Anolis sagrei: one gene and its partners. The protein of the gene in region 2 purifies or fractionates together with the protein of the main gene of each other region. This does not show direct contact. Links are inferred from orthologs where the notes say so. Each region holds a gene or a part of one and is shown on either strand. Other genes may lie near its edges.

Region 1 (8,605 bases), on a different chromosome or scaffold from region 2:
CATAAGAGAAGAGATTAGAATTTTGTCTTATAAAAACAAATCTTTCAAAATAATCTGTCAGCTGCAAAGTCTACTGTTTTGACTCGATACTATTTCACCTGAAATATTTGCAAACGCATTGGAATTTAAAATGTCAGAATTGGAGAAGAAAGGCAGAATTTGAGTATTTGGACAGCATTAAGCTATTCAGCATACTAAAGCTGCAGATTGAACTTCGAGGCAGCAAGTCACCAGTTTTATTAGCAAACAAGTCAGCACTATATGAACAAAAATGAAGTTTTACCTCAAATATCCAAGCCAATAATGAAATCTGTAGTCGATCACATCACTAAATTACAAGAAATTTGAATAATAGCAACAAAATGGCACATAAAAGTAATAGTCTGCCATCTGAGGCTCAAAAAGTAAAATAAAAACTTAGACAAAGTGTTACAAAATAACCTTTTTCAATAGCTGGTTGCTTGTGCTGGGGTCTTTCCAATGGACCGGCGATTCAAATGATCGGCTCTCCTCCAAAGGCATCCTTTATGTCGACTTCTCGTCTATTTGATGTATCTAGGTTTGAAAAATGTAGACTTCAGCAAGGAAAATCCTCTCCCCCCTTTCACATTTTGTGGATCCTTTCCTAGTAAGTGCTGGCCTTGTCTTGACACATCTGAGTATACATTACCCACCTCCCACCAGGCACTAATAGTTGGTGCAATGAGACTTTTTGAGGCAAAGACTGTGGATTCTCCATTAACCACAGCACATCGTGTTGAGGAATGCTCAAACTACACTTAATACAAGACCAGCCCAAGTATGTTAAATTACAGATGAGTTCTTATTCAAAATCTTGAACAATCATTAAACAGCCGCATTTCCATAACAGTTCTAGGCCCCCTTCCTTTGAAAAAAACAGGACCAAAAATTTGAGGGAGGTTAAAGACACACTATCCATTTTGCCCACCTAGCACATCTTTTGAGCCCGCAATTGCAGTGTAGAAGCGCCTGGTTTCCATAAAGATTTGCTTTTCAGCTTTGGTTTCTAACAACATTGGAAGCCATTGACCTGTCTGTGTGGCCACAGGCCCGTTTGCCCATTAACAGGATAGTGTATCTTTAACAAGTAAAGACAAACCTGCTCCAACACACGCCCACAGAAACTGGTCCCTGGAGGATCAGCCAAATCAGTTAAAATCTGCAATACTGGCCAATATTCTTTAAGCAAACAGGAGACCGCAGCTTTAGAGGGGAAAATGCAGATGTTGGGTAAGAACAGTAAGAAATAGTCATTTTCAGAAATAGGTAGTGTCGCAAAACAATAGATATTAAAAAGCAAGCTATCAAGAGCAACAAAAGAAGGTATCCTTTCATTAACTACATACTAAAGCACCCTCCTCAGAAGTAAACAACATGCCCCATTAGCTTTTACAGGCTCTAAAATACTCCAGGAAGGACCCCAATTGCTATAAAAAAGGGGCACACATGCAGGGCCAGCCGCCCAGAAGGCACCTTACCATTGCCTTAAGAGGACACGGCTCCTTCCTCTTCGGGAGACTTGGGCGGGCTCTTGGAACGGGAGCGCGACTTGGACTCCCTCTTGGAGACCGGTGGTGGGCTTCTCGACCGGGAGCGGGACCTGGACCGGGAGCGAGATCTAGATGGGGAGGAGGACTTGGACTTCGACCTTCGGGCTGAGCGAGACTTGGAAGTGGAGCGAGAGCGCGACCGGGTGCGGGAGCGGGACTTGGAGCGGCTGTAGCGAGATCGGCTCCGGGAGCGGGACCGGCTTCTGCTCCGGGATCGGCTGCGACGGCGCCTCCTGGGGCTGCAAGAGAAGGGAGAGAGAGAGGTTGAGGGGGAAGGAAACACAGGCAGAAAGGTGGGTGGGTTTGTGTAATGTTGCAACACTCTAGTTCAGGGATGGGCAAACCTTGGCCCTCCAGGTGTTCTGGACTTCAACTACAACAATTCACAACAGCTGGTTCGCCCATGCCTGCCCTAGTTGCTTTGAATGGGGAGTTTCATTCACAAGGGCGGGGACGCAGGCAGGCTGGCTCCCCTTCCTCTTGTCACGTGGCTGCCGTGGGGCTCAACTTTCTCTTTCCTGTCTTCCCGCCACCTCACTTCTGCCTTTTTTCCTGCCTGACACCCCTCCATGAATCACTCTTCACATGCTGCCAGGCACTAAGAGCGCACCTACACTGTAGAATTAGCTCAGTTCTATACAAGCAGAAACGTATTATAGAAACAGAGTTGGAGGAGATCCCAAGGGCCACCCAATCCAACCCCTTCAAGAAGGGCAGCCTTGCCGTGGTTTGAATGATTTGCGCACGGGTCTAAAAGGTTTCCTCTTGCAGGCAAAGACAAAAAAAGCACCCTATTATAACAGAAAAAAATATTTCCACACTAGACTGTAAGGGTTTCTTTTTCCTCCCTGTTGGGCTTCACACCTCACATGAGTCAGGAAAAAAACCCTCCCAAGGTAGAATGACTGCAGTTTGGCTGAAGGCGGTGGGATCCTGGGACACTAGCGCCATTTGGCAAAGAAAAACGTTGAAACTACAGCTCCCGTGACCACTTTTTTTTTTGTAAACAGCATATTTGAGAGTGATTAGTTCCTAGACCGTTAGTACTTTGTTCAGCACTTAATACACGGTTGCACTATCCCTTGCCCAGCCCTTTTATAGTTTGGCCATTGGTATTTTGAACCTGTCTGATGGGAGCTATACTGAAACCGGTTTGTAGGTATTTTCTGTATGTTTTAGTCGGGTTTTAGGTTTAATTGGTCTGCTTCGTTTTTCCTTTCTGGCCATTCAAGGTTTGGCCTTATATGTTGGAAACCGCCTTGAGTCTCATCGGGGAGAGAAATAAAGTTATATTATTATATTATTACTGTAACTTGTCATGAATCCCACCCCTTCCCGCTCTAGCTGTGTTCCGTGGGCTGGCTGAGGCCCGTGCTTGAGGGAGGCCCAAGCGCCCCCCCCCCCCCCAGGGCCGCTGGCTCACCTCCTGCTGCGCCGCCCGTATCCTCCTCCGCTGCCGTATCGGCGAGGCGGGGGCCCGCGGCGGCTGTGGTGGGAGTCGGGGGGCCGCCCGTAGCGCGCCATCTGGACGCGGAGCTCCCTGCCGTCGAGCACGGCCCCGTCCATGGCGTCCATGGCGTCCTCGGCGTCGCGCTTGTCGTGGAAGCGGACGAAGGCGAAGCCGCGGCTCTCCTTGGTGTAGCGGTCGCGGGGGATGTAGACGTCACCCACGCGGCCGTACTTCTCGAAGACGCGGCGGAGCGTGTCCGGGGAGGTGCGGTAGGTCAGGTTGTCCACCTTCAGCGAGGTCATGCCCTCCACGTCCGGCGGCGGGCGCCCGTAGCTCATGGTGGCCGAAAGGAGGAGGAGGAGGACGAAGGGGACCACGAAGACGACGACGACAACGGGCGAGGAGGCCCTCTCTCAGGGACCCGGATGGAAGCACGCGGCGCGGGGCCTCAGTTGTGAGCCGCCATCTCCGCGCGGCGCCACGAGCGAATGAGCCTGGGCCCGCCCTTCCTCCCGCACTTAAGCGCCGCCACAAAATGGCCGCCGACCCTGACCCGGAAGGGACCCTCGGCACCACCCACTCGCCCTCCCTCTCTTCTCAGTTATACCTCAGTCATACCTCAGCTATAGACTAATCATTTCGTATGCATGAGCTAAAATGGCGGGGGTTCTTGTTTCCAACAGCATGTTTTTAAACCATATTTTTCCTTATTGCGTTCAAATGCTCGGGTGTCCGTTAGGGCGCAACCCGGAAGGGAATGATGGGATCCTCGCCCCGCGCTCTCTCCCCTCTGCAGAAAATGATTTTCAAATCGCACTAAATGTGACAGAAGTGTGTTCTGGGATACCCTTTTTAAAAATCATAAACATTTAGTCTTGTATTTTAGACGTGAATGGACAGGACGGCGTTTGTCCGAAGAGGAAAATCCTGCATTCAAAATGGCGCCCAAAGAAAGGACGGAGCCGAGGGCTCCCTCAGGCGCGCGCACGGCGTCGGTGACGCGCACGTCACAGGCAAGCAAAAGCCGCCCGTCTCTGAGCCGCAGTGAAGAGGGGCCAGCCAGTCTCGGGAGGGGCGTGGCCACGCTTCGCCCCGCCCCCTGCGTCCTCTCTGAGTGAGGCCTAGGCGGCGCCCCTGGCTCCTTCGACGCACATGGAGCCTTTTGTCTTTTCTCTCTCGTGTTGGCTTACTCTTGGCTGTTAAAGCACAGCTAGCAGAGGGAGGGGCTGAAGGCAGCAGAGAAAGACAACATGAGAGACTAGTGAGCAAAGATTTCAGCTTTTCAGAACTTCTAATTGGAGTGGATGCTGAGTAAAGGGGAGTTATTTGCACTCCCATTTTACTGTGCTTTGAATGCGATTTTCCTTCTTGGCAGGAGGTTGGACTGAATCATAGAATCAAAGAGTTGGAAGAGACCTCATGGGCCATCCAGTCCAACCCCCTGCCAAGAAGCAGGAATATTTCATTCAAATCACCCCTGACAGATGGCCATCCAGCCTCTGTTTAAAAGCTTCCAAAGAAGGAGCCTCCACCACACTCCGGGGCAAAGAGGTCCACTGCTGAACGGCTCTCACAGTCAGGAAGTTCTTTCTCTTGTTCAGATGGAATCTCCTTTCTTGTAGTTTGAAGCCATTGTTTCGCATCGTAGTCTCCAGGGAAGCAGAAAACAAGCTTGCTCCCTCCTCCCTGTGGCTTCCTTTCACCTCTATATACATGGCTATCATGTCTCCTCTCAGCCTTCTCTTCTTCAGGCTAAACATGCCCAGCTCCTTAAGTCACTCCTTATAGGGCTTGTTCTCCAGACCCTTGATCATTTTAGTCGCCCTCCTCTGGACACATTCCAGCTTGTCAACATCTCTCTTGAATTGTGGTGCCCAGAATTGGACACAATATTCCAGGTGTGGTCTAACCAAGTCAGAATAGAGGGGTAGCATTACTTCCCTAGATCTAGACACTATGCTCCTATTGATGCAGGCCAAAATCCCATTGGCTTTTTTTGCCGCCACATCACATTGTTGGCTCATGTTTAACTTGTTGTCCACGAGGACTCCAAGATCTTTTTCACACGTACTGCTCTTGAGCCAGGCATTGTCCCCCATTCTGTATCTTTGCATTTCGTTGTTCCTGCCAAAGTGGAGTATCTTGCATTAGTCACTGTTGAACTTCATTTTGTTCGTTTTGGCCCATCCCTGTAATCTGTCAAGATCGTTTGAATGGCCTACAAGATCTCTTTCAACTCAATGATTCTATGATTCCAGCCTGTAAGTGTGAGTTGAGACAGACAAGAGGTCTGTTTATGGGAGTATCTATACTGTAGAATTAGTGCAGTTTGACGCCACTATAACCGCCATGGTTCAATGCTATGTAATTTTATAGTTCTAAAAGGTCTTTACCCCCCATTGTCGAAGCCTAAACCCCAGCCCCCAGTATTTTGTAGCACCAAGTTCAAGTGGTGTCAAACTACAGTGTCAATGCACCCTATGCTAAAGAGATTTTAATTGATGTCCATAAATGGTAGGCTTCTAAAAGTGCACCTGCACTGTCGAATTGTTATAGTTTGGCCTCACTTTAACTGCCCTGTCTCAATGCAGGGGAATCCTGGTGAAGCACCAGCACTTTTGGGCAGAGAAGGCTAAAACACATCATTATCAGAGAATGATGGTCTTCCAAAGATAGAGACTGCAGTGGGTCTGTAAGTGACTCCAGGATTCCCTAGCAGTTAACGTGATGTCAAACTACATGAACTCTGTAGTGCAGATACAGCCTTAGCTGGGTGAAACGTGTAGTTTCCCAAATGCTGCTGGATGGAGAGCCAGTGGTGAATAGTGAATGGATTTCAGTGCTTGGAGGGCTACATGATTTCCTCCCCAAAGTACACATGCCATGATTTGTGGCTTCAACAAGGTGGGGGCCAGTTTGAATTGAAGCAATACAGTTGGCTCCTCTGTATCCATGGATTTGATCATCAACTTGAAAATACTCCATATAAAAAAAATCCCCAAAGGCGAACCTTGACTTTCCAATTCAGTTTTAAGGAACACCATTTGACTATCTGTGTATATCATGAGCTGTGAATTTTTGTATTCATTGGAGTCCTGAAACCAAACCCCTGTGGATCCTGAAGGCCCACCGTAATTCTTTGCAGGCAGCGCATAGACACTTTTGAGGATATGATGAAAGCGGTGCCGCTCCTCCCAGAAAAATACACCAAAAATATACAACCTTCTGCATACAGGCTTTTTTAATTGGATTGGAAACGGATTTCCTTCATAAATCAGTCTGGAATGAAAGCAAATGAATGTTTGGAAAGCCTGGTTTATTTATTTACTTTATTATTTATTTATTTCTATCCCACTTTTTGTCCTGGGCCAGGACTCAAAGCAAAAACATAACACACAATAAAAATAAACAACATCATAAACATAATCGCATCTAATAAAAATTATTTTATAACCCACATAAATGCAATTAGCATCCAAACAAAGAACACAATTAAACATTCAATAGATTAAAATAAATTAAAAACCCCATCTAGACTAAGTTCATTTAGGTCACTGTCAGGTCCATTCCCGGAGATTATTTGTTATTTATTTAATATTTAATTTATATCTTCCCATATAGACTCCAAAGTGGCCTTTTTTACTACCTTAAAATACATTGTGATAAGAAAAAATGATCAGAACAAGGAAATTGAAGAAAGCCATTCATTCCTAGAAGTTCTTGAGTCCTTTGAGCACAATCCACCGGACCCCAAGAAGGTGGATAAATGGGCTTCATGTTAAAAAAGATTCATATCTAATAGCTGAAGATCCAACAGCACCTGGAAATATATGGTTGGGAAATCAAGCATGCATCTAAAAACTAGAATTAATGTGGTTTGATATCACTAACTGCAATGGCTCATTGTTACGGAATCCTGGGAGTTCTAGTTTTATAAAGCCTTTAGCCTTCACTGCCAAAAAGTGCTGGGGCCTCATCAAACTACATATCTCATTATTTCATCACTTTGGGTCATGGTAGTTAAAGTGGTGTCACACTGCATTAATTCTAAAATATAGATGCACCCATGGTCTGCTTCTTGTGTTTCTGAGGTCCCTTCCCCCTATAGAGGCATGAAGTAAGGTTGTAATTGTGACTGTAAGAAGAAATACTCAAATGAAGACAAAATGTATTAGTTTCTAACAATTTCTAGCATATCAAAACCTAGAAACAATTGCAGACCAAATCAAAAGATTATCTTTTCTATCAACTAAATGATCTTGACTAACTTGCTTCAAGCTTTTAACAGAGAGGGGAAGAAAATATGCAGCCCTGGTTGGTTCTACATTGTAAAATGAATTAGATTTGCCACTACTTAACTGCTCTGGCACAATGCTGTGGAATCCCAGGATTTGTAGTTTGATGAAGCACCAACAGTCTTGGGCAGAGAGGGTTAAAGACCATGTAAAATTACAGCTCCCAGGATTCCATAGCACTGAGTCATGACCGTGAAAGTGAGTTATTTATTTACCCTACTTATACCCCGCTTTTCTCAACCCCGAAGGAGACTGAAGGCAGCTTTACATATAGGCAACTGTGTGATGCCTTAAAACAACATGAAATTAAAATAAACATTTAATTAAGAATTACAATTCAGAGGTAAAGGTTTTCCCCTGACATTAAGTCTAGTACTTTCTGACTCAGGGGGATGGTGCTCATTTCTGTTTTTAAGCTGAAGAGCCAGCGTTGTCTGTAGACACCTCCAAGGTCATGTGGCTGGCATGACTGCATGGAGTGCCGTCATCTTCCCACTGGAGCGGTACCTATTGATCTACTCACATTTGCATGTTTTTGAACTGCTAGATTGGCAGAAGCTGGGGCTAACAGCGGGAGCTCACGCCACTCCCTGGATTTGAACCACCGATCTTTTGGTCAGCAAGTTCAACAGCTTAGTGGTTTAACCCGCTGCGTCATCAGGGGCTCCAAGAATTAAAATTAAAGCACATTAAAACATTTAAAAACATTACATTCACTGTTAAAAGTACACCACCCACAATCGTAATCCGGGGCCGTTCCAGTAGTCATTGCACATAATTCCTATCTATTATTGAACTATAATTATTATCTGAAGGCTTGATCTCAAACTGCATTTATTCTACAGAATAGATGCACCCCAAATTTGTCTTAATGCAGTTTACTACCTTTGAGATTGTAAAGCAATTTCAACCAGCTATTATAGTGAAGAGAGTTACAAGACAAGGTGCCCAAATAAATGCTAATTTCAATGTTTATAACAAATAGAAAGATTTAGGGGGGTTTTGCAGAGGCATAAAGAGTGAGACAGCTAAGAACTATTTATTATTTCTGCTAAGAGGAATTTCTTTTGGGGAAAAAACAAACAAGTGTAAAACACATTGATCAAAGTGTTATTTAATGCTAAGCAGTTAAGAGTGGCAATCTAACATTATGGAGCTAACAAAATTGCAACCATTCATCCATAGCCACCAAATAAGACATTTCTCATCACTGAAGCAGATCGCCACCCATACTCGCCATGTGCTCGTTCTTCCTGCTTTTTAGAACTGCATTTCCCAGGGTTCACCTC
Region 2 (7,523 bases):
GACGTTGCCCAGGGGACGCCCGGATGATTTCATGTTTTTATCATCCTTGTGGTAGGCTTCTCTCATGTCCCCGCATGAGAAGCTGGAGTTGATATAGGGAGCTCATCCGCCTCTCCCCGGATTCAAACCTGCGACCTGTCCTGCCGGCACAGGGGTTTAACCCACTGTGCCACCGGGGGCTCCCTGATCTCACAACCTATGAGGATGCCTGCCATAGATGTGGGAGAAACATCAGGAGATAATGCTTCTGGAACATGGCCAAGCAGCCCAGAAAACTCACAGCAACCCAGTGATTCCAGCCATGAAAGCTTTCGACAACACATTCTTTCTCGCAGTCTCAAAGGTGCCAAAAGATCCCTTTGCATACTTATAATTGTAGTCTCAATTATAAGTATGCAAATGGATCTTTTGGCACCTTTGAGACTGAGAGAAAGAATGTGTTGTCGATATGGCTATGACTCTGAATCCTACTGTCATTGGATAAGGATGAAACAAATGTTTAAATCTCTCATTAACATCAGTGGAATTTAGTGGAAACATTTCTGTGCCCATTCAAATAAAAGCCATTGAGATCAACAAAGTTTTTTCCAGATAACCACATATAGGATTGCTACGCTTAATGCTTAATACTGGATGGCTCATGGACAACTATCCATTACTACAGGTTATCAGTTCGATAGAGAAGCATCAGAAATTAAAAGGGCATGAATAGATGACAACATTCATAATTAAGCAAGTAATTATATTAATCTCTTTTCATGCCATTCCTAAGAAGGGAGACTGTAGACACATACCAAGAAATATCTGTGGCTCATGCTAAAATCTTCAAGATTTCCAAGAAATAAATCCCACAGGATGCAAGGGGGTTTGTTTCCGAGTACATAGTTTGGACTCTCTCCTTCACAGAGCTGACAATAACACAGGACTAAAAAACAACACAAGACATTGACTGCCTCAGTTCCTCGGGGCTTAGGGTGGACCCAGTTTGACTAGCTGCCCAATCTCTCCAGTTTCTCCATCACTTTGGCCAGTGTTTTCAAACACTTCTGCCATTATCACACAATCTTCTCTGGGGGTTGGGACCCCTGGGGGAGGGTTGCAAGTGGGGTGCCAGAGGGGTCACCAAAGACCATCAGAAAACACAATATTTTCTGTTGGTTTCGGGGGGTTCTGTGTGGGAAGTTTGGCCCAATTCTATCATTGGTAGGGTTCAGAATTCTCTTTGATTGTGGGTGAACTATAAATCCCAGCAACTACAACTCCCAAATGTCAAGGTCTATTTCCCCCAAAATCCACCAGTGTTCACATTTGGGCATATTGAGTATTCGTGCCAAGTTTGGTCCAGACCCACCATTGTTTGAGTTCACAGTGCTCTCTGGATTTAGGTGAACTACAACTCCAAAATTCAAGGTCAATGCTCACCAAACCCTTCCAGTATGTTCCGTTGCTCATGGGAGTTCTGTGTGACAAGTTTGGTTCAGTTCAATCATTGGTGGAGTTCAGAATGCTCTTTGATGGTAGGTGAACTATAAATCCCAGCAATGACAACTCCCAAATGCCAAGGTATATTTCCCCAAACTCCACCAATATTCATATTTGGGCATATTGAGTATTTGGCTTCAAACTACAAGAAAGGAGATTCCATCTGAACATGAGGAAGAACTTCCTGACTGCGAGAGCCGTTCAGCAGTGGAACTCTCTGCCCTGGAGTGTGGTGGAGGCTCCTTCTTTGGAAGCTTGTAAACAGAGGCTGGATGGCCATCTGTCAGGGGTGCTTTGAATGCAATATTCCTGCTTCTTGGCAGGGGGTTGGACTGGATGGCCCACGAGGTCTCTTCCAACTCTATGATTCTATGCTAAGTTTGGTCTGGATCCATTATTATTTGAGTCCACAGTGCTCTCTGGATGTAGGTGAACTACAACTCCAAAACTCAAGCTCAATGCCCACCAACCCCTTCCAGTATTTCCTATTGGTCATGGGAGTTCTGTGTGCCAACATTGGTTCAATTCCATCGTTGGTGGAGTTCATTTGATTGTAGGTTAACTATAAATCCCAGCAACTACAACTCCCAAATGACAAAATCAATCCTCCCCAACCCAGTATTCAAATTTGGACATATCAGATATTTGTGCCAAATTTGGTCCAGTGAAGGAAAATACATCCTGCATATCAGATATTTATATTATTATTCATAACAATAGCAAATTTACAGTTATGAAGTAGTAATGAAAATAATGTTATGGTTGAGGGTCACCACAACATGAGGGACTGGATTATCATAGAATCAAAGAGTTGGAAGAGACCTCATGGGCCATCCAGTCTAACCCCCTGCCAAGAAGCAGGAATATTGCATTCAAATCACCCCTGACAGATGGCCATCCAGCCTCTGTTTAAAAGCTTCCAAAGAAGGAGCCTCCACCACATTAGAAAGGTTGAGAACCACTGTCTTACTACTTCATCACACTAGAGAATGAATCCACTTTAAATCCGGTTTCTGCCTCCTGCAGAATTCTGGGGTTTGTAGTTTAGGGAGGACCCTTTAGGAGCCTCACAAAACTACAAACTCCAGAATTCTGCAGGAGGCAGAAACCGGATTTAAAGTGGATTCATTCTCTAGTGTGATGAATTGGTTAGAGGAAAATAAATCACACTCACGCCCAGCAGTCCCAAGAATGGTAGAGTTGGAAAGGACCCCAAGGGTCATCTAGTCCAACCCCTTGTAGACCAGTCAATCAAGAAACAAACTTCTTCTAGGATTCCTTTCCAGCAACTCTCCAGAGAGCAGACTTCCAAAAGCAGAGGAAAGGTCCCTTTCCGCTTTTATATATATATAAAAAAATCAATCCATGTACTATTTGATTCCAAAATGGACCTCCATTCCTCATGATCTCCAAGGGGTCTTTTCCACTCCATTAGAGTGGCCAGTTCATTCACAGACATTTCCACAGCAAGGACTTACCGGAGAGCTTTGGAGTGCGCAGTCGAGGAGGCGCATCAGGATGCCTCCTCAGCTTCTCTTCTTTCGCCTCTTCCTGGCTTTTTCCACCCTCGAAAGGCACTCTGGCTCTGGGGACAAGTCGTGGCTGGTGCCTCCTTAGTGTCTTTCCAAAGCCCTACAGCCTTGGAAGGATCCGCGACCATCACACGCGCGTCCGCAACCCACGCGCGTGTTTTTTCGCCATCCCTCCCAGCCAAGGCAGGAGTTTGCTGTAAGTAAGTTCCTCCTCCTTCTCTTCCTCCTCCTCTTTGCCGTAATAAATTGGAGAAGCTGGCGTGAGTCACTCACTCCCTGGCAGTGCCAGCTCCCATGCCCAAGAGGAGGACTCTCCTCTGGTGACCACAAGCAGGCAGGAAAGGAAGGAAGGAGGGACCAGCCAGCCGCCCAGATAGGTGATCATCCTCATGGCGGGAGAGCACTCCAGGCTCACCTTGGCCACCTCTTCCTTGCCCACTGGGGACTTTCAAGTCTCCTGTCAACTGGTGGCCACCCCAGGAATGTAATCTTATTTTCTCATTTTCTTTTATAAATATGTATTACAGTTTTTCTTTAGAACATAGAGTCAAACAGAAAAAAGAATGAAGGAAATAAAGGGAATTGAAAAATAAATCAAAAAGAAGGAATCATAGAATCATAGAATCAAAGAGTTGGAAGAGACCTCATGGGCCATCCAGTCCAACCCCTTGCCAAGAAGCAGGAATATTGCATTCAAATCACCCCTGACAGATGGCCATCCAGCACCTGTTTAAAAGCTTCCAAAAAAGGAGCCTCCACCATACACCGGGGCAGAGAGTTCCAACTGCTGAATGACTCTCACAGTCAGGAAATTCTTCCTCATGTTCAGATGGAATCTCCTCTCATGTAGTTTGAAGCCATTGCTCCGCGTCCTAGTCTCCAAGGAAGCAGAAAACAAGCTTGCTCCCTCCTCCCTGTGGCTTCCTCTCACATATTTATACATGGCTATCATGTCTCCTCTCAGCCTTCTCTTCTTCAGGCTAAACATGCTTAACTTGTTTAACTTGTTGTCCACGAGGACTCCAAGATCTTTTTCACACGTACTGCTCTCGAGCCAGGCGTCCCCCATTCTGTATCTTTGCATTTCGTTTTTCCTGCCAAAGTGGAGTATCTTGCATTTGTCACTGTTAAACTTCATTTTGTTAGTTTTGGCCCATCTCTCTAATCTGTCAAGATCGTTTTGAATCCTACTCCTGTCCTCTGGAGTATTGGCTATCCCTCCCAATTTGGTGTCGTCTGCAAACTTGATGATCCTGCCTTCTAGCCCTTCATCTAAGTCATTAATAAAGATGTTGAACAGGACCGGGCCCAGGACGGACCCCTGTGGCACTCCACTCGTCACTTCTTTCCAAGATGAAGAGGAAGCGTTAGTGAGCGCTCTCTGGGTTCGTCCATTTAACCAATTACAGATCCAAAGAAGGGGATCACACAATGAAGAAGAAAAGGGGGGGGGGGACACAAGATACATTACATCTGCATTAAAGTAAAATTAAGATACATTTACATGTAAATACAAATTTATTTGTTTATTTATTTACTATATTTATCTACGGCTCTTCTTAGCCCTTAGGCGACTCTGAGCGGTTAGCAATAGCAAAACAGCGCCCCTTACTAGATCTTAAACACCTTCATGTTTCAAAGCCTGTCTGAATACAAAGGTTTTGATGTGTACATAATATCCTACTCCTAACCAACAATGTGTTGCAACTTATATCTCATTTTTCAGATATTTTGGATTTGGAATCAATTGAGTAGTGTGACTGTCTGCATGTCCAACATTCAAATAACTACATCACTTTGTTCTGAGACCATTCAGCCATGGAAACCCATTGATTAACCTCGGGCAAGTCATTCTCTCTCAACCTCAGAGGAATGCAGAGGCAAACTAGCTCTGAACAAACCTTGGCAAGAAAATTCTGTGAGAGGCTTGCCTTTGGGTCGCTGTAAGTTGGCAATGCGTTGGAGGCACACAACAATACTAGCACATATGATCCTGGCAATTGTAGATGTGGATATTGTGCAGGAGGGGGGAGAACTCCCTGTACCTTTTAGTTGTGGTTGTGTCGTTATAATTTCTAACACATTAAAGAAACTAAAATACAGAAAATGGGAACAGTTTGACTTGCTCAGACGAAGAAGGTGGAAGGCTCCAGACGATGATCTTTGGTATTAGAATGGAGGGAGTCCTAAGTACACAAGAGTGCCTGTAATATTTTCCTCAGCACTGACACATATGGTGTTATCTGCTTTCCAACACAGTGTTTGCTGCCCACCCTGTTCTTCTGACACAAATGAAATCACAACTACACACAAGCAGCCCCCAAAATGTTCAGAATCCTAGAGGAGAAACTAAAACATTGTATGAAAAGCGTCTGTACGCCCAGCAAAGGCAGATTGTTTAGTTCCTTTTATTAATTTCTGTACAGGCAGCTGATTATTTTCTTATTTTTCAAGGAAAATATGCGATACTTGCATGTTTGTTCAAACAAATTTACAGATACCTTTCTTCCATTTCTTGTCATTTGACAAAATAACACAATGTGGATGGAATGAGGATATCATAGAATCATAGAGTTAGAAGAGACCCCAAGATTAGCCTCTACTTCAATGTCTATCCAAAGCCAAGGCATTTATTTCAACAGCTTTTGAGAATAGGTTCTTGTGGGTTTTTTCGGGCTATAGGGCCATGTTCTAGAGGCATTTTCTCCTGACGTTTCGCCTGCATCTATGGCACGCATCCTCAGAGGTAGTGAGGTCTGTTGGAATTAGGACAATGGGTTTATATATCTGTGGAATGGCTGGGGTGGGGCAAAGAGCTCTTCTCTGCTGGAGCTAGGTGTGAATGTTTCAACTGACCACCTTCATTAGCATTTGAAGGCCTGGCTGAGCCTGGGAAAATCTTTTGCTGAGAGGTGTTAAGATGTCCCTGCTTGCTTCCTCTCTGTTGTTGTGCTGTTGTAATTTTAGAGCTTTTTAATACTGGTAGCCAGATTTTGTTCATTTTCATGGTCTCTTCCTTTCTGTTGAAATTGTCCACATGCTTGTGGATTTCAATGGCTTCTCTGTGTAGTCTGACATGGTGGTTGTTGGAGTGGTCCAGCATTTCTGTGTTCTCAAATAATATGCTGTGTCCAGGCTGGTTCATCAGGTGCTCTGCTATGGCTGACTTCTCTGGTTGAAGTAGTCTGCAGTGCCTTTCATGTTCCTTGATCCGTGTCTGGTCAATGCTGCGTTTGGTGGTCCCTCTGTAGACTTGTCCACAGCTGCATGGTATACAGTAGACTCCTGCAGAGGTGAGAGGATCCCTCTTGTCTTTTGCTGAACGTAGCATTTGTTGGATTTTCTTGGTGGGTCTGTAAGTGGTTTGCATGTTGTGTTTCCTCATCAGCTTCCCTATGCGGTCAGTGGTTCCCTTGATGTATGGCAGGAACACTTTTCCTCTGGGTGGATCTTCATCTTTACTCTCGTGGCTTGTTCTTGGTCTTGCAGCTCTTCTGATGTCTGCGGTGGAGTATCCATTGGCCTGGAGAGCCCAGCTTTTGAGAATATTTTTTTAAGAAACACCTTTTTGTAGCATTCTGTACAGTCTTCAATTGTGTTATCTTCAAATGTCTTTTCATTAACTTTTAAATAAGTGCTTCCAAGTTTGGTTTTAGTGTTATTCATAGTTTCATTCCAACATGATGTCAGCCTTTTGTAGAAAATCATAGAATTGGAAGAGACCACAAGGGCCATCTAGTTTAACCCCCTACTATGCAGGAGCACACAATCAAAGCACCCCCTACAGATGGCCATTCTTCTCTTTAAAAAAAATCTCCATAGAAGACTCTACTATGTTCCGAAGCAGCATATTCCATAGCCAAAAGGTTCTTATAGTATCATAGAATCAAAGAGTTGGAAGAGACCTCATGGGCCATCCAGTCCAATCCCCTGCCAAGAAGCAGGAATATTGTATTCAAATCACCCCTGACAGATGGCCATCCAGCCCCTGTTTAAAAGCTTCCAAAGAAGGAGCCTCCACCACACTCCGGGGCAGAGAGTTCCACTGCTGAACGGCTCTCACAGTCAGGAAGTTCTTCCTCATGTTCAGATGGAATCTCCTCTCTTGTAGTTTGAAGCCATTGTTCCGCGTCCTAGTCTCCAAGGAAGCAGAAAACAAGCTTGCTCCCTCCTCCCTGTGGCTTCCTCTCACATATTTATACATGGCTATCATATCTCCTCTCAGCCTTCTCTTCTTCAGGCTAAACATGCCCAGCTCCTTAAGCCGCTCCTCATAGGGCTTGTTCTCCAGACCCTTGATCATTTTAGTTGCTCTCCTCTGGACACACTCCAGCTTGTCAATATCTCTCTTGAATTGTGGTGCCCAGAATTGGACACAATATTCCAGGTGTGATCTAACCAGAGCAGAATAGAGGGGTAGCATTACTTCCCTAGATCTAGACACTATGCTCCTATTAATGCAGGCCAAAATCCCATTGGCTTTTTTTGCCACCACATCACATTCTTACT
Region 3 (8,055 bases), on a different chromosome or scaffold from region 2:
TGATCAGGTTTAGACTTACCCCGCCTCCTAACCTCTGCAGGGGTGGTGGACCCATTAGAATGGTCCGCCCCAAGAGACTTATGGATCCAAATGGCTTCCTGACAGCTCTTGGGGAATTTCCCACCTCCTTGGCTGGCGACTGTCGATGCTTTGGTCTCTCACTGGGACAGTAAGATGACTAGGGCAATTGATACAATCGCTCCAGAACGCCCCCTCTCGAGTAACCGAGCTAAACCAGCCCCTTGGTTTACTGAGAAGCTGGCGGCGATGAAGCGAAATAAGAGGAGGCTAGAGTGCGTGTGGCGCCAGAGACCTACCAAATCAGCCCAAACACATCTGAATGCCTTTTTAAGGTCCTACGATGTGGCAATAGCGGCGGCGCAGAAATCATTTCTTGCAGCCGATATTGCATCTGTGAAGAATCGTCCAGCTGAGCTATTCCAAGTTGTCAGGGGTCTGTTAAATCCGCCGAAAAGCGAGATCCCTGATGACTCAGGGGCTCGCTGTGAAGCACTGGCTCGATTCTTCACAAATAAAGTTGCGTTGATTCAGTCGGATTTCGACGCCATATTAACAGCGGTCTCTGAGAATGTAGCACGAGCATCTGGTTGTCCGGTTTTATTGGATTCATTTCAATTGGTTCAGCTTGAGGATGTGGACAGGATCCTTGGGGAAGTGAGGCCTACCACATGCATCCTAGACCCCTGTCCATCCTGGCTGATAAAAGAAGCCAGAGGGGGCTTGGCAGAGTGGGTGAAGGTGGTAGTTAATGCCTCCTTACAGGAGGGAAAGTTTCCAGCAAGCTTAAAACAAGCTATCATAAAACCATTGCTGAAAAAGCTGTTGACATAGTAGGGGGTGGTGCGCTCCCTGTATGATGCTCCGGTGAGCAATCTGGCTGCTGCCCGTTGGACTAGTTAAAGCTTCCGAACAGTCTTCAAAGGCAACCCTGCGTAGAGTGTGTTGCAGTAATCTATTCGGGATGTAACAGCATGGTCATAACACTTGAATAACACTTTATTTATATTCTGTGGCTATCTTTATGTTTTATGTTTTGGACTATTAAAACAGCCAGAAAGTAAGTGCTGTTTTAATTAAATTGTTTAACAAAAACTGGGAGTTTGGTTCATCTCTGCCTAAATATTGGCAGAGCCCTAGCATCGTGACAGTTGCTGTACATTTTTTGGCCTACCACATGCATTGTATGGCCATGTTCCAGCAGCGTTCTCTCCTGACATTTCACCTGCATCTGCGGCTAGTGGTATCATCAGAGATTCTGTTGCTACTGAGACACGTGGAGTATATATGCAGTGTTCGCTCACTTAGCCCTCCTCGCCTTTTGCTTCACCAGGTGAAGAGAGAGAGAGAGCGCAGGAAAGAAAGGAAAGGCCTTCAAGGTAGGAGAGAGAGAGGACTGAGGAGGGAAAGCGCCTCGGAAAGCGGCAGCAGAAAAAACCCGCGAAACCGCGAAAATACTGTGATATATATTTTCAATTCATATTTAATTAAAAACCGCGAAACAGCGAGTCTGCTAAAAGCGAACCGTGAAGTAGCGAGGGAAGACTACACCTATGGAATGTCCTGGGTGGGAGAAAGGACTTGGTTAGTTGCAACATTCTTATTTACTTACTTAGGCAATCCCTTGTAGTCCAAGGATGATGGTCCTCCAAGTTGGGTGTACTGGAGGTGGGTCCATAGGTGACTGTGGAGCCCTATTCTTGAGCTACCTCTTCTCCCACAGTGAGAGCATCGGTTTCCAGGTGGAAGGTGGTCCCGGTCGGGGTTGGGCTTCCTCTTGGCATGTTTCTCTCTTTCGCCCTCCATTCATGCCTCTTCAAATTCTGCAGCACTGCTGGTCACAGCTGACCTCCAGCTGGAGCGCCAGGGCTTCCCAGTTCTCCGTGTCTATGCCAAAGTTTTAAAGGTTGGCTTTGAGCCCATCTTTAAATCTCTTTTCCTGTCCACCAACATTCCGTTTTCCATTCTTGAGTTTGGAGTAGCGCAACTGCTTTGGGAGACGGCGGTCAGGCATCTGGACAAGGTGGCCAGTCCAACGGAATTGAAGCAACATTCACACTCGCTTCAAAGAGATCCTCCCACCCGGGACATTATTCCATAGGGATATATACACTCCACTTGCTTCACTTCCAACAGACCTCTGAAGATGCCACTCGCCACAGATGCAGGCGAAACGTCAGGAGAGAATGCTGCTGGAAAATGGCCAGAAAGCCCGGAAAACTCATAGCAACCCATTTTCTAGCGTTACACCATTAAGCTGTATTTCTGGCATTGCGGAGGGATTGGTTGGTGCCTTCTGGTGTTAGAAGAATATTTTAGTTTTCTTGATGTTCAGTGAGAGGCCAAGTTCCCCACAGGCTTCTGCAAAGATATTATGCAACACTATTTTCAAGCTGCTGATGGTTGACTCCATGGATACGGAGAGGTGACCGTATTCAGGGAGTTATCATGAAAATGCAAAAAGTGCATTACATTAAGTAAACCTCAGGATTGTTATGCTTTTGCGCAAGCATTTCTCTTTCCCTGGCTTGATCTGTTGAATCCGTGTCCTGGAAACAATAGCCATGTTTATTGGCAACAGCCATTCTGACTGCCAGGACAGTATAAATAGACAGCCAAGTTTAGATAGGTTTCATTTTAGGAAATCCTGGATTTGTGCAAACTTAACCTGGAGAGTAACTTACTTACTTAGGCAATCCCTCATTGTCTGAGTAGGATTGTCTTCCAAGATCAGTGTCCGTAGCTGACTGGGGAGCCCTATTCTTGACCCGCATCTTCTCCCGCAGTGAGGGTGAAAGGGTCTTTGAGTGAAATTTGCAAATGCTAAGCAAGGGGCTTTGAATGAAATTAACAACAAAAGAGAAATATACCCTATCTCTGTAGAAAAGGAACAACACGGAAGAAAATGTTTTAAAAACAAGAGGCATCATGTAGAGGTCATACAAAGTTCAAGCTTACATAGGAAGTTGGGTTGTGGTTAAGTGCAAAGGTTGCAGTTAAGCGCAGAGTCTGCAGGTACAAGAAGGTACTTTCCATCAAAAGGTCAAGGGAGGGGGGCTGGAAAGAGAGTACTAGTAATCCCTTGTATTACTTGAGTATATAACGGTGTACAAAAGCCAAGGGGGTGTGGCAGTCTGTTAAAGCACAAACAAAAGTGCTGTCTGTCCGTCTCATGTCGATCAGCTTGAATAAATGGGGTCTCACATGAACCAATTAGACTGTGGATTTCTTCGAAAAGGGACCCTGCACCCTAAACCCTTGATCCCTTACAAGGGCATTGGTTTCCTGGAGGAAGGTGGTCCTAGTTGAGGTTGGCTTGATGCGCCTTCCTGTTGGCACGTTTCTCCCTTTCGCCCTCCATTTGTGCCTCTTCAAATCCTACAGAATTGTGTCCAATTCTGGGCACCACAATTCAAGAGAGATATTGACAAGCTGGAATGTGTCCAGAGGAGGGCGACTAAAATGACCAAGGCTCTGGAGAACAAGCCCTATGAGGAGCGGCTTAAGGAGCTGAGCATTTTTAGCCTGAAGAAGAGAAGGCTGAGAGGAGATATGAAAGACATGTATAAATATGTGAGAGGAAGCCACAGGGAGGAGGGAGCAAGCTTGTTTTCTGCTTCCTTGGAGACTAGGACGCAAGGGAACAATGGCTTCAAACTACAAGAGAGGAGATTCCATCTGAACATGAGGAAGAACTTCCTGACTGTGAGAGCTGTTCAGCAGTGGAACTCTCTGCCCCGGAGTGTGGTGGAGGCTCCTTCTTTGGAAGCTTTTAAACAGAGGCTGGATGGCCATCTGTCAGGGGTGATTTGAATGCTTCTTGGCAGGGGGTTGGACTGGATGGCCCATGAGGTCTCTTCCAACTCTTTGATTCTATGATACAGCACTGCTGGTGACAACTGACCTCCAGCTGGAACGCTCAAGAGCCAGGGCTTCCCAATTCTCAATATCTATGCCAGAGTTTTTAAGGTTGGCTTTGAACTCATCTTTCAATCTCTTTTCCTGCCCACCAACATTTCGTTTTCCGATCTTGCGTTCGGAGTAACCCTCTCTGCTTCATTTGGAAGAATGCTGCACTCGCAGAGCTCAGGCGGTGTTGTCTTTCAGTGTCAATGTTGACTTTTGTGGAGAGGTAGCTGCCAAGGGAGCAGAAATGGTCAAACTATTCTAATAGTGCTTGGTAATACTGGGAGTTCCGTGGAATGAAGAAAAGGTCACGGAAGGCCTTGTAAAATCTGCAATTCCCAGCATTCCACAGCATTGAACTGGTGCAGCTTAAAGTGGTATCAAACTGTGTTAATTCCACAGTGTAGATGCACCATTAACTGTAATTTGGACTGCAAAAAAGAAGTGATGCCAAGGATTAAATGGTTGCCTTTAAGAGTTGTGGATAATCTGGACTGCAGCTCCCATGAGCCACTTACTATGCTGGAAAATCTGCAATTCCCAGCATTCCACAGCATTGAACTGGGGCAGCTTGAAGTGGTATCAAACTGTGTTAATTCCACAGTGTAGATGCACCATTAACTGTAATTTGGACTCCAAAAAAGAAGTGATGCCAAGGGTTAAGTGTTTACCTTCAAGAGTTGTGGATAATCTGAACTGCAACTCCCATGATCCTTGCTGAATGGGGATGATGGGAGATGGAGGGTCAAAAGCTTCCCCATTGACCGCCTTATTGATTCCCTAGAATCAATAAACAAAAGGAGTGTAAATATATGCTGCGGCCCCTTTAAATCAGGCTGGTTGCTTCCTTGTGGGCGGGGCTACAAGGGAGAAGGGGCGGGCCATACGCAAATCAAGACTGACGTACTGTATTTCTCCTTCCCTTCCGTGTGGGCGTGGCTACAAAGGAAGGGGGCGTGCTGTATGCAAATACAGACTGATGTCAGCAGTTGAGAGGGACGAATGGGCGTGGCCCTGAAGTTTTGAGTGACAGCGCCTTCTAGCCAATGGAAGCGTGCATCCAGTGGGAAGGCGGGACTTCCTTCCCGGATTTGTGAGCGGTGGAAGCTCGAACTCGGCGGCCAGAAGCCGAGCCGGCCGCCGCCATGATCAAGAAGTTCGACAAGAAGGATGAGGAGTCTGGTAAGAGACGGGCTGGGAGGGCTGGCGTCGCTAAGGTGGCAAGCCTTTCGAGGTAGGCCCCGTTGCTAGGCAGATTGGCAAGCCCCTTGGGATAAAGGCCAGGCGGCCCCGTACATAGAGAGGAACTTAGGCCTCAAGCCACGCCCCAGGGCTGAAGCCACGCCCCCAGGGGCGTGTCTTCAGAGGAGAGCATGAAAGAGGCGTGTCCTGCTTGTCCTTAATAAATAATAAAAATAATAATAGGAATAATAATAATAATAGTAGGAATAATAATAATAATAATAATAGGAATAATTAATAATAGTAGGAATAATAATTGTAGGAATAATAGGAATAATAATAATAATAGTAGGAATAATTAATAATAATAATAGGAATAATAAAAATAATAAGAATAGGAATAATAATTGTAGGAATAATAATAATAGTAGTGGTAGGAATAATAATAATAATAGGAATAAATAATAATAATAGGAATAATAATAATAGGAATAATAATAATAATAGGAATAATTAATAATAATAGTAGTAGTAGGAATAATAATAATAATAGGAATAATAATAATAGTAGGAATAATTAATAATAATAATATGAATAATAATAATAGGAATAATTAATAATAATAATAGTAGGAATAATAATAATAATAGGGATAATAATAATAGTAGGAATAATAATAATAGGAATAATAATAATAGGAGGAATAATTAATAATAATAATAATAGGAATAATTAATAATAATAATAGTAGTAGGAATAAGTAATAATAATAGGAATAATAATAATAGTAGGAATAATTAATAATAATAATATGAATAATAATAATAGGAATAATTAATAATAATAGTAGGAATAATAATAATAGTGGTAGGAATAATAATAATTAATAATAATAGTAGGAATAATAATAATAATAATAATAGGGATAATAATAATAGTAGGAATAATAATAATAGGAATAATAATAATAGGAGGAATAATTAATAATAATAATAATAATAGGAATAATTAATAATAATAATAGTAGTAGGAATAAGTAATAATAATAGGAATAATAATAATAGTAGGAATAATTAATAATAATACTAATAATAGGAATAATAATAATAGTAGGAATAATTAATAATATTAAATAATTAAATAATTAATCAAAGCCATGGTATTCCCTGTAGTAACCTACGGATGTGAGAGCTGGACCTTAGGGAAGGCTGAGCGAAGGAATATCGATGCCAGATCAGCCAGAACCATTGAGAGGCCCAATGTTTACGCAGGTCAGAAAGAATTCGGCAGTTAAGGCCAAAAACAGGGGGGAGTAGGAACCAGTTTTTGGGACTTAAATTGAGCTCTTAGAGAATTTTCTTTAGACCAGGCACTGTTTGGAATCAAACTCAAGTCTCCTGGATATTCCTTTTTCATGTGGCTTTGTCTCTAAGGATTCACGGCTTTTCAAGTGGATTAGCAGTGGCTAGTCTGTTCATGGGTTTATTCTAAAGTCTTTTTGGTTATTCATTGCCTGTGGATTATTTCTGCGAGGTTGGGACATGGATATAATTCCTTTGTTTGGACACTGCTTATGTTGCTGCTTTATTTGGCTTTTTGCTTATTTTTATAATAAGATGAAATTTTTATAATCATCTCTTTTATTGGTTCCAGTTATTCTTAAAATAAAAAGGACTCTTCCTTCATTCAAGGTGTGGTGTAATTAATGATTAGAGAGTCCCGTTCCTGTTCTAGGATGCAACACCTTCTACCTACTGGCTGTTAGGAATTGTGGGAGTTGAAGTCCAAAACACCTGGAGGGCCCAGGTTTGCCCATGCCTACCGTAGAGCCAGACCGGAAGATGTGTGGCTCCTTTAATGGGGATATTAGCCAAAGATTCTTCCCCATCTCTATTTATTACTGGTTAAACCCCTGTGCCAGCAGTACTGAAGACCGACAGGTCGCAGGTTCGAATCCGGGGAGAGGCGGATGAGCTCCCTCTATCAGCTCCAGCTCCTCATATGGGGACATGAGAGAAGCCTCCAACAAGGATGATAAAAACATCAAATCATCCAGGCGTCCCCTGGGCAACATCCTTGCAGACGCCCAATTCTCTCACACCAGAAGTGACTTACAGTTTCTCAAGTCACCCCTGACACGACCAAAAAAAACCAAAAAACTGGATAATGTGGATAATGATGTGCTTCTTTCCCTTCTTCCTCAGGGAGCGGCTCCAACCCTTTCCAGCATCTGGAGAAGAGCGCCATCCTTCAGGAGGTGAGGCCGGGCCCTTTCATTGCATCTCAGAAGTACAGGATGTGCGTCCTTCAACTCTCCCTGTACGTATTTCCTGCATTATTTTTGTCCATCTCCCCATAGGCTCGGATCTTTAACGAGACCCCTATCAACCCACGGAGATGCCTGCACATCCTGACCAAGATCCTTTACTTGCTGAACCAGGTATTTATTTATTTATTTACAGTATTTATATTCCGCCCTTCTCACCCCGCAGGGGACTCAGGGCGGATTACAGTGTACATATGCATGTGAAACATTCAATGCCATAGACAAACAACATATATAGACAAACACACAGAGGTTATTTAACATTCCACCTGTCGCACACCAAGGCTGGAAGCACACCTTTAAACCCACAAACACTCCAAAGTTCTTTAGCAAATAAACAGTTTATTTGAATAAATGCAAGCAGTATCAAGAAAGGTGAAAAAGGCAAGTAAAAAGTTGTATAAGAAAGTCTAAAAACCATCTGACCCAGCAGGTCAGCAAATACAGTCCATCAATACAGCATAGTTGATACTTATTTCCACAGCAAAATCCACGAATGCATAGTCCTTAAAACCCACAAAGGATAATGTCCAAAGTCTCTTGAAAAGCCAGGAAACAAGGTTGCACAGATCCAAAATCCACAGAAGAATCAATCAGGAAAACATTCACCAACTGCAACTTG
Region 4 (7,843 bases), on a different chromosome or scaffold from region 2:
ACACTACTGTTTTGTCATACCTGAATTACTTGAGGTAATTTATCAGAAGCATAGTACCAGGCTATTCAAGCCAAGACACATAATTGAATTTGCAGTTCTTCCAGATTTCAGTAGGGGAAAAAATCTCTATGAAGCTACAATTATATAGTTATCTGGAAATCAAGCAACTAGCAAAAATTAACTAAAATTGCATACTGGATTCACAAAGTTATTTAATTTGTGTTGGTACCAAACTTTTATTTTCCCTTTCCCTGCTTTTGCACCCAGGGCAGGGGATTGCTTTTAGAAGCTCAATGAGGGCAGCCTGGTCTCCTGCTGCTCCAACATCTATTATTGTACAGATGGAGCTTCTAAACATAAGTGTAGATTATTGTGCTGGGATATTATATTATACTGGCAGCCAAAACAATTTTTACCTTCCACTCCCTCTGCTTTTTCCCAATATTCTGGAATGTCCTATAAACTTTGGCTCAAGTGTTCAGACTAATAAGCAGCCATTTGGAAATGGAAGAATTCTGAAAAATTGCCTTCTACTTCTGCAAGCAAAATTTTATGATGGAGGTATTGCTGTTGTGATCCACCATGGGTCACATAATTTAACAGAGCTCACCAGCTGAATATCAGTGAATATTCTGTTTGCTGAGTGTATGTATATCCATGTTTCTATTGTAGCTTCTCGATTTGTATAGTAAATGTGCAATCCTTAGTGTAATACCACATATAACTCGAGCTACAAACATTACAAACAAGGAAGAAATACAATCCAGGTGGAAACTTAAAAAAAATGAAACATATCACCAAACTGAAGGCCGACAACTACTCAATCAAAGAGAACTTGGCAGGGCAAAATAAGTTTCATTCAGTCAATTGGCTGAATTCAGAATCTGATTTCAGTATCTCATAAACCAAGAGGAAAAATGTAAAGTTCATTTTTGGAAATGGTTAGACATTATGAATTATCCCCATATTCCTGGTGGTGGCTGAAGCAAGAGTGCAGTGCAGCCATCATGCTATGTTCTGTCCCTCTTTGTTTATAACATGATGACAAATATAACAGCTTCAGTTACAGCATGGATGCAGAATGAGAGAGTTCACCATATGAATGCTATTGAATGTATATGAATGTTTATGTTTTTGCAAAGACGAGCTTCTTACAGTATTAGAGATAGGTTTTGGTATGTAACTTTTATGGAGGTATGTTTAGTGTGTGTATTTGTGGTGCTTTTGCTGTGTTTATGTATTCTAATTGTTTTGTAACCCGCCTTGAGCCATGAGGAAAGGCGGGTAAGAAATAAAATTATTATTATAAAAAGAAGGGAAAGAGAGAATGTAGATTCATCTTTAAGGATCATTTATTTTTATTCTAGCAGGGGATTTCTTGGCTATAAACCCACTTCTTCAGATACAATACACAGTGCTATAGCATACTGTACATATCTGAAATTCTTGGGATGAAAAGCGTTCTGTATTTTTCCCCTTCCCTAAATGTTGGATATATACACACACACACACACACACATATATATACACATACATATAGTGTGTCTGTGTATGGGCTCCCTGGTGGTGCAGTGGTTTAGACCACTGAGCTGCTGAACTTGCTGACCAAAAGGTTGGTGGTTCGAATCCGAGGAGCGGGGCACGTTCCCGCTGTTAGCCCCAGCTTCTGCCAACCCAGCAATTCAAAAACATGAAAATGTGAGTAGATCAATAGGCGCTGCTTCTGCAGGCAGGTAACAGCGCTCCTCGTGGTCTTTCCGGTCACATGACCTTGGAAGTGTCTACGGGCAATGCCGTTTCTTCGGCTTAGAAATGTCAGTGAACCTGTTACCTTAGGTAAGGTTTGTCCTTTTTTTTTTTTGCTTTGAATTACTATATTTCAATATATTTCAATATTAATATTAATACTGAGTTTATGGTATAACATCGTATGGGGTATAGCATTATTTAGAATTAAATAGTAACTCTCAAGCCCCTTCCACACAGCTGAATAAAATCTCATATTATTTGCTTTGAACTCGAATATATGGCAGTGTGGACTCAGATAACCCAGTTTAAAGCAGATATCGTGGTATTTTCTGCCTTGGTATTCTGGGATATATTGATGTGTGGAAGGGCCCTTTGGCAACCAGAAACTACATTGATCTGGAATTTTCCAATCCTCATAGGGCCCTTCCACACAGCTCTATGTCCCAGAATATCAGGCAGAAAATCCCACATTATCTGAGTGTGGACTCAGATAACCCAATTCAAAGCAGATATGTGGGATTTTCTGCTTGATATTCTGGGATATAGAGCTGTGTGGAAGGTCCAATAGTTTAACAAAGAATCTGTGCTTTTAATCATTTTGAGCATGGAACAAAATGTCTGATCATTGAGCCCATCAGATAGCAAAGGCATCACTACCTCAGCCGCCCATGTGGACAAATGCAGGGCCATATAACCCAGAATACCAAGACCGAAAATCCCACAATATCTGGTTTGAACTGGGTTATCTGAGCACCATTCCACACAGCCATAAAACCCAGAATATCAAGCCAAAATATTCAACAATATCCGCTTTGAACTAGGTTATCTGAGTCCACACTGTAATATATACCAGTTCAAAGCAGGTAAGGTGGGTTATCCTGCCTTGATAGTCTGGATTATATGGATGTAGAGAAAGGCCCCGAGTCCACACTGCCATATATTCCAGTTCAAAGCAGATAATGAGGGATTTTATTCAGCTGTGTGGAAGAGGCCTTGGACGGTGAGACATTTTGGATTTCGGAATTCAGGGCAAGGAGGGGTCAATTTGTAATTCTAAATGAGAATAATTTTAATCTCCCCCCTGAAGAATTCCCTGCAGGGATTGGCTGATGCTGAGGGGGCCTGTTGAGCAGAGTCAGCATTTGGGCCAGGAGTTGCTGTGGGCCTTCGGGTCCTTTCCGACTTATGTCGGCCCTGAAACGAATTCAGTCGGGGTTTTCTGGGGCTGAGAATGTGTGACTCTCTCAAGGTCACGCGGGGCGCTCCCACGGTTAAGCAGGGATTCAAACCCTGGCCTCCAGAGCCGCAGCCTTACGCTCCGCCCCTTCCCCCGCGCTGACCGCGAACGAAATGCCACCTGGGGTGAGAGGAAGAAGCGGCGTGAGACCCCGAGGCACTGACGTCACTACGCAAGGGCCTTCCGAGGCCTCCCCTCCCCTTCTCACCTTGGATCCCACGAAGGGCTTCCCCCTCCTCCCTGAGGCGCTCCAGCGGCAGCAACCCGCCAGCGCGCGCCCGACCGCCGCCGTTGCCATGCTTGGGAAAAAAAAGAAAGAAAGGGGGGGCGGGGGAGACGAAAAGCAGCACGCACGCGCTCTCGCAGGCAAGCCAGCGCGCGCTCTCACACACAAAGCTCTCCTGCCGTATTCCGCAACTGTCGCACGTCCCCGCACATGACGCAAAAAGGAGTCTCCACACACCAGTCCCTCCCCGACCTGCAGTCCACTTTGATTGGCTGCCACAACTCGAGGGAGGCGGGGAAAGTAAAAGGACGCGCAAAAAGTCACGTGATTTTAGCCGGGTTGACATTCGTCGCTGTTTAGCGAAAAGTTCCCGCGCTCTTTCAGTGAAGAGGGGTGGGGCTTCCTATTGCAGGGTTTGATTCCACGCATGTCTCTTTAGTTCAGTTAAGGCTTTCAGTTAAGAGGGGAAGGAGGGTTAACTGGGAATGCAAACGCGTGTGGACTATTATAGATGCGTTTGATTACTACTACTACTTTGCATGATGTTTAATATGTTGGAAGCCGCATTGGGCCCTTTGTGGGAGAAAAGCGGGCTATAAATAAAGATTTAGAATCTATATAAGTAAAAATGTAATGTTCGTTTGCGGGATTAACAGAACTCAAAAACCACTGGACGAATTGACTCCAAATTTGGACACAAGACACCTAACATCCCAATGTATGCTCTTCACTCAAAAGTTTTTGATTTTCTCATTTGGGAGTTGTTGTTCCTGGGATTTATAGTTCACCTACAATCAAAGAGCATTCTGAATTCCATCAATTATGGCATTGAACCAAACGTGGCATACTGGACTCCCATGATCAACAGAAAACACTAGAAGGGTTTGGTGGGCATTGACCTTGAGTTTGGGAGTTGTAGTTCACCTACATCCAGAGAGCACTGTAGACTCAAACAATGATGGATCTGGACCAAACTTGGCACGAATATTCCATATGCCCAAATATGAATGGAGTTTGGGAGAAACATTTGGGATTTGTAGTTACTGGGATTTATAGTTCACCAACAATCCAAGAGCATTCTGAACCCCATCAATGACAGAATTGGGGCACATTTCCCACACAGAGACCCCATGACCAACAGAAAATACTTAATGACATCCAGTCCAACTCTCTTCACCAGGGCAAGAAAATGTTAGAAACCAATACTTCCTCATTACTTTATTTTCCAGATCACCAGGATGGGCCACAGCAACGCGTGGCAAGGGATGGCTAGTCTATATAAATAAAAATGTAATGTTCTTTGTGGGATTAACATAACTCAAAAACCAGTGGATGGATTAGGACACAATACACTTATCAGGCCAATGAATGATCATCATTCATAAAAACACTGAAAAACACAGCAGAAGAGACTTTAAAAGCCAAAAAATGAAAAATACATTACAACACATGCCCAAAACCACATATTTACACAAACACACAGGATATCGTGACGGGGTATAAAATAAAGTTTTATTATATGCACAAATATAAATAAACACAAAACACATATACACAGACTGGGCCACAGCAACGCGTGGCAGGGGACAGCTAGTAATAATAATAATAATAATAATAATAATAATAATAATAATAATAAAACTTTATTTATACCCCGCCACCATCTCCCCAAGGGACTCGGGGCAGCTTACATGAGACCAGGCCCAACAGTACCTCAAAGCAAATATACAACATAAATACACACAGTAAAATATAATAAGAAAAATAAAATACGAAACAATATAAATAAACACACCAAACAATATGTTGTCATTAATTCGTTCAGTCACTTCTGACTCTTCGTGGCCTCATGGACCAGCCCATGCCAGAGCTCCCTGTCAGCCTTGGGCACCCCCAGCTCCTTCAAGGTCAATCCAGTCACTTCAATGATACCATCCATCCATCTTGCCCTTGATCGGCCCCTCTTCCTTTTTCCTTCCATTTTCTCCAGCATCATTGTCTTCTCTAAGCTTTCCTTTTTTTCTCATGATGTGGCCAAAGTACTTCATCTTGGTCTCTACTATTCTTCCCTCCAATGAGCAGTCAGGCTTTATTTCCTGAAGTATGGACTGGTTGGATCTCGCGGTCCAAGGCACTCTCAGAACTTTCCTCCAACACCACAGTTCAAAAGCATCTATCTTCCTTTGCTCAGCCTTCCCTAAGGTCCAGCTCTCACATCCGTAGGTTACTACAGGGAATACCATTGCTTTAACTATGCGGATCTTTGTTGCCAGTGTGATGTCTCTGTGACATCGACCGAACAATATAAAATCACAGTGGCCAGGGCAAGTTGCAAAGATTAAAAGTTTAAAACACAGGGTAAGCAGGTCATGTAGTGTATCTAGAAAAGGGGTGAAAGTAAGGTTTAATTGCACTAGAAGATAAAATAAAGTGCTCCTGAGGGCCTTCTCTCGCTCCCGCCACCACGGAGGAGGCCCTCTCCCTCATCCCCACAAGTCGCACTTGCAATGGGGGTGGGAGCGAGAGAAGGGGCTCTCCGGAAGATTGAAGGGATCGTGTAGGTTCGTAAAAGGAAATGTGGTTATGAAGGTAGGCGGGTCCCAAACCGTTCAGGGCTTTGTAGGTAAGAACCTGCACATTATTATTGATTATTGACACAAAAACACAGTATGACACAGCAAACGAGATATATATGCTGGATTTCGTATCACAAAATCACAAGCCGAACCCTTTCCATATTATTATTATCATTCCATTTTCTTTTGTGGAGTTGTAAGCAAATGATGCCACTGTTAACTGCCATGGCTCAATCCCATGAAACCCTACGAGTTGCAGTTTAGTGAGGAGCCAACACACTGACAGAGAAGGCTAAAGGCCTTGTAAAACTACAACCCCCGCGATTCCATAGCATAGAGGGCCCTTCCATACATCCCTATATCCCAGAATATCAAGGCAGAAAATCACACAATATCTGCTTTGAACTTGTTATCTGAGTCCACATTGACATATAACCCAGTTCAAAGCAGATAATATGGGATTTTATTCAGCTTTGTGGAAAGGGCCTGAGTCATGGGAGTTCAAGTGACATCTAACTCCATTCATTCTCCTTGTAAACTAGGCACCCTACATTATCTTGGAGAAGTGAGATAAGTACAGAAGGAATTGTAGTAGATGCACCTCAAAAGTTTTGGAAAGTAATCCTAATTCCTGCGTATTTGGTACAGGCTTGAACTGAAACTTGTTGCATGAAGAAGGCAAAAAAGAAACTTCAGCAGCCCCATTTGCAATCAACAACCAATAATATGTTGTCGAAGGCTTTCATTGTTGGAATCACTGGGTTGCTGTGTGTTTTCCAGGCTGTATGGCCATGTTCCAGAAGCAGTCTCTCCTTAGAGAATGCTTCTGGAACATGACCATACAGCCCGGAAAACTCACAGCAACCCAACAACCAATAACTTGTGCAAAGACCTCCCAGTCTCAAAGAGAGCAAAGCAAAATAATCCACCAATCTTAATGATACAGTCCTCTAAAGTGTCTTCCCTGTTTTCCAAAATAAAATGAAAAAGAACAGAAGAAATTAGGCAGAGTATTCTCAGCAAAACCAGAAGTTATCAGGCACCAAAGCAGCAGGGAAATCCAGCTTCTTCTCATTTTGTAGCTTCAGTCTAGTTCTCAGGTCTACAAATTCTGCAGTTGCCATAATGCAAGGGAGAGAAGCAGCATGAGTATCCCTTCTGTATATACACAACTGATGGGCATGGGCTGTGCTTCAGCTGCGCTGGACACTCTCCTATATGTGACAACAACGTAACCTCAAAATACTGCCAAGTTGGGTTTGATTATCATTTCGGGGGCCTTTGGGGAAGGGGGGAGGGAAACACTTAAATTGACTATGAAAACATTCTCCTTTTCAGCCCACAGACACCAAAGAAGCTTATATATATTTGAAAATAAAATTAAACAAAAATAAAATTAAATGGATACTATTACAGATGAAACCTATAATTCATCATATCTAGCAAGGTGGAACCATAGCATCATAACTGAAATACTTTGTTATTAAAATTACTACATGGGGAGTGCTTTGTTAAACAGGAGAACACCCAACATACTTACCATAATTAACAAGATTCCATAACCTTGAGCCATGGCAGTTAAAATGGTGTCAAACTGCATTAATTTTAGAGTGTGCGTGATTCTTGAGTTCTAATTTTACAGGACACAAGAAAAACTCTTAATCTTTTTATAGGGCGAATATACACTGACCCAATGCAGTCACATTAAGGTGGTTTTTTCCTGCATTACCGCACAATGGGCCCATCCGGCCAAAGTTAGTCAGTATAGATGTGTTCCTCGGCATAAGTTTTATTTACGTGGTCAATACTTCCACAGTGGAATTAATTCAACTCTTTCTCTCTTCTTACAAAAACATTGTGATCTTCATAACTATCCTGTGTGTTTGGATCTCTAATGAAACAGAATTTGGAGGATTAAGTTCAGTCGTTTCCTCAGATGTTTCCCCTCAATATTGGAATAAGATATGAAAAAACAGTGCTGGCAGGTTTCCCTCCATATCTATCATCTTGTCATCACTTTTCTTGATAGGCCCATTACTCTTGTCATGAAATAGG

Evidence for each region.
Region 1: the proteins of ESR2 (region 2) and SRSF2 purify together in Homo sapiens (affinity purification with mass spectrometry; 3 studies listed by BioGRID and IntAct, with this or other methods). This does not show direct contact. The link is inferred for Anolis sagrei from reciprocal best matches to the Homo sapiens genes ESR2 and SRSF2.
Region 3: the proteins of ESR2 (region 2) and COPG2 purify together in Homo sapiens (affinity purification with mass spectrometry; 3 studies listed by BioGRID and IntAct, with this or other methods). This does not show direct contact. The link is inferred for Anolis sagrei from reciprocal best matches to the Homo sapiens genes ESR2 and COPG2.
Region 4: the proteins of ESR2 (region 2) and MRPS9 purify together in Homo sapiens (affinity purification with mass spectrometry; 3 studies listed by BioGRID and IntAct, with this or other methods). This does not show direct contact. The link is inferred for Anolis sagrei from reciprocal best matches to the Homo sapiens genes ESR2 and MRPS9.

The regions. Positions count from the first base shown.
Region 1 is NC_090022.1:119,937,159-119,945,763, forward strand, and holds the start of SRSF2 (serine/arginine-rich splicing factor 2), read right to left. Parts: upstream 3,552-8,605; 5' UTR 3,360-3,551; coding exon 2,995-3,359; intron 1,811-2,994; coding exon 1,507-1,810; 3' UTR 1,500-1,506; intron 556-1,499; 3' UTR 1-555.
Region 2 is NC_090021.1:330,451,632-330,459,154, reverse strand, and holds the start of ESR2 (estrogen receptor beta), read right to left. Parts: upstream 3,221-7,523; 5' UTR 2,961-3,220; intron 1-2,960.
Region 3 is NC_090025.1:194,474,483-194,482,537, forward strand, and holds the start of COPG2 (coatomer subunit gamma-2), read left to right. Parts: upstream 1-4,985; 5' UTR 4,986-5,069; coding exon 5,070-5,106; intron 5,107-7,311; coding exon 7,312-7,364; intron 7,365-7,466; coding exon 7,467-7,547; intron 7,548-8,055. UniProt on the Homo sapiens protein: The coatomer is a cytosolic protein complex that binds to dilysine motifs and reversibly associates with Golgi non-clathrin-coated vesicles, which further mediate biosynthetic protein transport from the ER, via the Golgi up to the trans Golgi network.
Region 4 is NC_090023.1:105,747,838-105,755,680, reverse strand, and holds the start of MRPS9 (small ribosomal subunit protein uS9m), read right to left. Parts: upstream 3,405-7,843; 5' UTR 3,285-3,404; coding exon 3,195-3,284; intron 1-3,194.